2 linked regions of the Mus musculus genome follow. The protein of the gene in region 1 interacts with the protein of each later gene in a pairwise test. Links are inferred from orthologs where the notes say so. Each region holds a gene or a part of one and is shown on either strand. Other genes may lie near its edges.

Region 1 (2,909 bases):
TCTTTTTACGTTTGTTCATCTCATATTTCACACCAAAGCTAGAGATCATGAACGTGAAGCATCTATTTGCAGACTGGTCAGGGAGTTCAATGGTAGGGCATATATCTACCGCGAGTGAGTTTTTGGGTTTCTCACTAAGTACTGAAAAGTTAGATAAGTATAAACTAAAAGTGTTGGGCTAATGCCCATGCATTACCTATAGCTCCTGTAATATGTTTCCATTTCATTTACCTAACATTGCTCAGTATATATATGCCTATTCTTACAAATTTTATGCCATAATAAAAACCAGAAATTATGAATCTTATTTCATAACTCATATCCATTTAGATTTACACAGAAGCAAACAATTTGGAATCTTTTTAAGCATCTATTTTTTTCAAATCTACTAAAATTAACTAGACATGGTTGATCCAGTCTATGATTCTGGCACCTGGATGACTGAGACAAGAGATTGCTGAGAGGTCAGTGCCAAGCTGAGTCACCTAATGACATCTAGACCAGCCTTGATCCCAAATAAAAGAATAAATCTACCAAACCCAATGAAGTCACAGTGGCGAGACAATAATTATTTCAAGGATCATTTATTTATCTTTTTTTTTTTACAAAATACAAGAACTTGTTCTGCATGAATATAGAGCATATGAAAAATAATGCACTTTCAGAGTCTAATTGTCAGACATTCAGTTTCTCAACTATTCTCTTGAAGAATTAGCTTTGTTTGGCACTTGGTTTTATATCATAAACAAGGAGGAAGAAAGCTTTTCCCTGTTAATTGAATCAGACCCATAAACATTAACAACTTAAAGATGTAAAATCAGACATTTGCCGCACAAGACTCGTTCTGCAAGGTAACTGATTTGCCTATGATCCTAATGTCTTTCAAGATATAAGAGAAGAAGGCTGGAGGGGAGCTAGGTATGTTCTCTAATGTATCTGCAGCAGTTGATAGTCAATGCAACAGAAGATTTGCTTTGTCTGTGGTACAAGGATATGTCCTATCAGACTCTACTGCATTTTATCTACTTGAACACAAGTAAGCACATACTGATTTTCTCTGTCTGACACAAATGTATAAAAATACAAGAAGCTGGCTGTGTTTGTCAATGGAAAAGCCTATTTTTAATCAGCTAATATGAATGCATTTGCTAAAATTAGTGAAGACAGGAAAAATGACTTAGGGGTAATATATACAGAGTTTCAGTACATTTTATATCCACTTGGTGATTTCAGGCACTGTGGCTGTTCAAGATAAACTATTTCATGGATTAACTTGATAGCAGTTTAATTTTCAGTGCAAGCAAAAGCAAATACCTGCCTAGTGTCACACACATGACCTGGCACAACTGGAATGTTCAAAGCATTTTTTATTTTTAACATCTTCACTCTGGAGACATCTTGAGTAAAAACGTCTTATCAAGTTTGCTCTTGGTAGCAAATTTAATTTTCAGTGCAAGCCAAAGCAAACATCCATCTCCCTCTCTGTCATATATAGGAACAAGTGTATTTGGAATACGTTCGCTTTCTCCAATTTCACTGTGGAAGCATCTTCAATAAAAGGCACTTAGTGTAAACCGTCTATCCATCATGAGACACAGACTCGAGATGCCTGCATTTAATTATACTAAGCCACACTGCCACAGACATCTGCCATGTAAACGATGTTCGGTAAGGTTTGCCATCACAATGGTGCTTTCCTGAGAATGGAGCTGGTCTTTGTAGGTATCATAAGTGTGCGTGCTCAGAGCTGTGGTCACTATCGCGGCTGTCCTCGTTTGCTAGTGAGTCCCCTGTCTGCTGGAGGGTGGCTGCACCGATTCCTGACAGCTCTGACGGAAGAAGCGTTCCCTTTTTCACATTCACCAGTTCCTTTTCTCGGGCAGCAGCTCCTTGCTGTCCCCCTTTGACCCGCTTCCACTTCATTCTCCTGTTCTGGAACCACACTTTCACCTTCAAAGAGAGGGAATAAGTAAGTCAGCAAAGGCAATAGGACCTAGTTGCTCAAGTGCCTGCGCACATACACCATGATGCAGCAATTAGAAAAAACAGGCAGGATTGCAGTGAGTTAGATTGCATGTGCGTAGTAATGGAAAAGGCTTAGTACATTCAAAGAATTATCGTAAATTCCAACACATAACACAAAGTTACAAATAGGCGAGGAAGTTTGCTCGGAAGCATTGGAGTGGAGTTTCTCATCGATCAAATAAAATATTATGTTTACCTCTATCAAAGTTTACACATTCTCTGAAATTCATCTTTGACTTGACAGTAGAATTTTTACAGGTTTATCTGCTGGTAAATCCACCTCTGAAAGCGCACTATTTACTACGAAAGTCCCTTAACTTGGAAAGGCATGAATTATCTCTCAGCACATCCTTTCAGATCGGCGGGGGGCATGGGGGGCATAATTCACCTCAGTAAAGGACCAGATGCTCCTGATTTATATGGAATGGTGTCCCAATAAAACTATCGTGAAGAAGAGTCTCCAGCCCACCACGGCTAAACTGGGGACTGTCTGCAGGACCTAGCACAGTTGGTTTCCTGATACTCTACAGGAAGTCTGTCTTTACTGGTCTTCTTTCTGCTCTTGCCTTTATTAACGTTTACTTCAGAAATATCATTGAACTGTTGCCAAAGAATGCAGCCACAGTAAAAATTCCTCAGTATTTACCTTGCATCCCCCGCCCCTGCCCGGGTGAATACCCAGAAACTTCCTCAAAGGACTCAAGAGAATGTGACAATCCACCTCAGTAAAAAAAAATTCATGAATTCATATTGATTAACTTATTTCACAAGATCTAGATTTGTCAGCACTTTTTTTTTAATACTAGGACTACTTACTATGTCCTTATTTTGAGATTTTTAAAAAACCTCAGCTAACATAAAAGCATCGCCATGTTTATGATCAC
Region 2 (2,736 bases), on another chromosome or scaffold:
GCAAAGCAGTACAGCAAAGAACATCAAGGTAGGAGAGCTGCCTCTGAAATGTGAGGCTGACTAGAAAGCCCAGGAAATCATTTTGTTCAGCCCTAGAAAATTACATTAGGACAAAAAGGACATTAATGAGGCCTATAGGCCAGACACGTGACATCAGAATATAGCACCCAGCCGGGCGTAGTGGCGCACACCTTTAATCCCAGCACTCGGGAGGCAGAGGCAGACGGATTTCTGAGTTCGAGGCCAGCCTGGTCTACAAAGTGAGTTCCAGGACAGCCAAGGCTACACAGAGAAACCCTGTCTCGAAAAACCAGAAAAAAACAAAAAACAAAAAAAGAATATAGCACCCAAAACAGTTTACCTGCCAACTTCAACTCAGTTGTTGAAGATAGTCAGATTTGGGGTCCCATCCTCAAATCTGTTTTGACTTGTGAGCTCAATACAGTCTAGGCTGTGAAGATAGTATCCCTGACACATAGGAACTGGAAAAAAAAAAGCATACCCCACTATGCACATTCACAAATTTCCCAAGGCCACTGGGTGACATTTATTGTAAAAGCACATGGGGCAAGGTTGGGACCAGGTGGGGCAGGTTCTAGGAGGCAGAGTCAGAGGCCTCTGAGCTGTCTTTGACATCTGTGCTCTCTGTGGTCTCGCTGACCTCACTGAGGTCCTTGCTGTCCCCACCACTATCCTCAGCAGCCAGGCCCTTCTCCTCACGACAGGCCTCTCCTGAGCTCAGAAGCACGTTGCCTTTGTTCTCCGCTTTGTTCTCCAAGGCCGCCAGAACCATGTGCTTGCCCTTTTCCTTCAGCTCCAGGTGCCGCCTCAGCTGCCGCCAGGAGCCCAGAGGGAAGCGGGTGGAAAGAGACAGGGCCTAAGTCTCCAGACAGGAGACAAGAGGAGCCAGGCCCTGAGGCTGGCTGGGGGAAGGGACACAGTGAGAAGTGGTAGGGCCAAGGCAAGAAATAGGACTGGGTAGAAATGTAGTTCAATCCTAGCTCTGCCCTAAGCCTGCTTTCCTCATCTGTAAAATGACAAAGGTCCTATTGCCCTCAAATGTGCTGTTGGGGAGCCTCCAAGACAGAGCAGTACCTCCCCAGGAGGCTTGGTCAGAGACCCTTTCCCCCTAGCCCAGTTTAGTCCTAAATCTGAGCAGGCTGCCCCTGACCCTAGTAGTCCCTCTCCCTAGAAAAATATCTTCCTACTCTCTCTCCTGTTCCACCCACCTCCAGGCTTCTTCCCTAGAAAGCATCCCATAGCCCCCTCTAGAGTCAACAGAGGCCATGTCACAACTTGACAGCTTAGGAAGTGAGGGAAAGAGGGGCTCTACAACGACAAGGGCTGACACTCAATCTTGGTCTTGCCTCTAGCCACCACTGCCTCACTCAGTCTCACAGCTCTAAAGTAGCCACCTTTCCCAAGTACAGAATCTCCCCTGCTGCTGGAATTGCTGCCCTGGACTGGCTGAACTCTTACCTCATCAGCCATCTGCGTGAGGTCCCGCTTCATTGCATACGCATCTTCCCCATCTGCATAGTATTTGGGCTCCACTTCGCTGATCCTGGGGGTAGGATCAAGACACATGCCTAGGGGCAAATTCTCCTGGTTCTTAGGCTACTGGGGTAAATGTCATCTCCCCCATAGAACCTTTGTAGAGGCAAAAAGCCAGTGTGAATGGGCTTCTCCTTTTTGTTTTTCATTTGAATGAACTCTTGTCCAACTGCTGTGATAGTTATCTCTGCTTTTCCAGTGAAGCCGAGCAGCATGTAGCATCCAGGGTACTTCCCATTCCTAGACTTGCTACCACTTTGTCCCTAGCCTGACCAGCAAGGACTTGTGTTTTCAGTTGAAGCCCCTAGTTCTGCTTCTTCCTCTCCCTGACCTGCTTCTTATCATTTACTGAGCACATAGCCAGTTCCTCTGCTAGGAAAAAGGGACACTGTACCTGCATGTAGATAGTCAGCATAGACAACCTGGTTACTGACCAGATGGCTGAGGGAGGGGAGGGAGGTGTGTGTGCACACTTGAGTAGCCCTGACACTGGAAGGGAAGCCCTTTGATGACCTAGGAAGGTTCCTTGCCAGTCTTCAGAGGTACATGTTGGGTATCTTCCTCAGTTGCTTTCCACCTTATTTTTATTTTTTCAAAATAGGGTCTCTCACTGAATCTGGAACTTGTCCATTCAACTAGGCTGGTTGATTAGTGAACCCCAGGGACTCTCTTGTCTTAACCTCTTCAGCACTAGGATAACAGGTGCGGGGCACTGTATATGGCTTTTATGCATGGGTGCTAGGGATCAAACACACGTCCTCACAATTAAGCTTAATTGAGACAGGGTCTTGCTATGTGGTTGAGACTAACCTGGAACTCACTATGCTGGAACTCCAAGCCATAGTCGTCTACTTTGAGTGCAGAGATTAAGAGGCGTGTGTTACCATACCCAGCTGGAAACTGCTGACTTAGCAGCTAAAGCAGTTCCTGTTGCAGAGGCGTCTTAACTACGTCAAAGAGCCCTCCATGAATCTGGATGTAGAACCCAGAAAAGCTGAAGACTACTACCCTGTCCCAATGGTGTCATCTTCACTGGACACCCTCCAAGTCTAGTGTGGTTCAGTGGTTTCTCAAGTTAGTCTACTCCAGCCCCATTTTCCAGTAGCACTAGGTACTACCAAGTCCTCTCTTCATGGAGATGCCCATGTTTGCAGTAGACCTGCCCTCAGCCACCAGAACACT

Evidence for each region. The genes of interacting proteins can lie anywhere in the genome.
Region 2: the proteins of Meox2 (region 1) and Naa10 interact in binary tests that used the Homo sapiens proteins (3 or more experiments, as listed by UniProt). The two-hybrid records come from large-scale screens. The link is inferred for Mus musculus from reciprocal best matches to the Homo sapiens genes MEOX2 and NAA10.

What each region holds. Positions count from the first base shown.
Region 1 is NC_000078.6:37,177,194-37,180,102, reverse strand, and holds the end of Meox2 (homeobox protein MOX-2), read right to left. Parts: intron 1,951-2,909; coding exon 1,726-1,950; 3' UTR 569-1,725; downstream 1-568. UniProt on the Homo sapiens protein: Mesodermal transcription factor that plays a key role in somitogenesis and somitogenesis and limb muscle differentiation. Required during limb development for normal appendicular muscle formation and for the normal regulation of myogenic genes.
Region 2 is NC_000086.7:73,916,364-73,919,099, forward strand, and holds the end of Naa10 (N-alpha-acetyltransferase 10), read right to left. Parts: intron 1,590-2,736; exon of another isoform or gene 1,565-1,589; coding exon 1,480-1,564; intron 924-1,479; coding exon of another isoform or gene 833-923; coding exon 596-832; 3' UTR 507-595; downstream 1-506. UniProt on the Homo sapiens protein: Catalytic subunit of N-terminal acetyltransferase complexes which display alpha (N-terminal) acetyltransferase activity. Acetylates amino termini that are devoid of initiator methionine.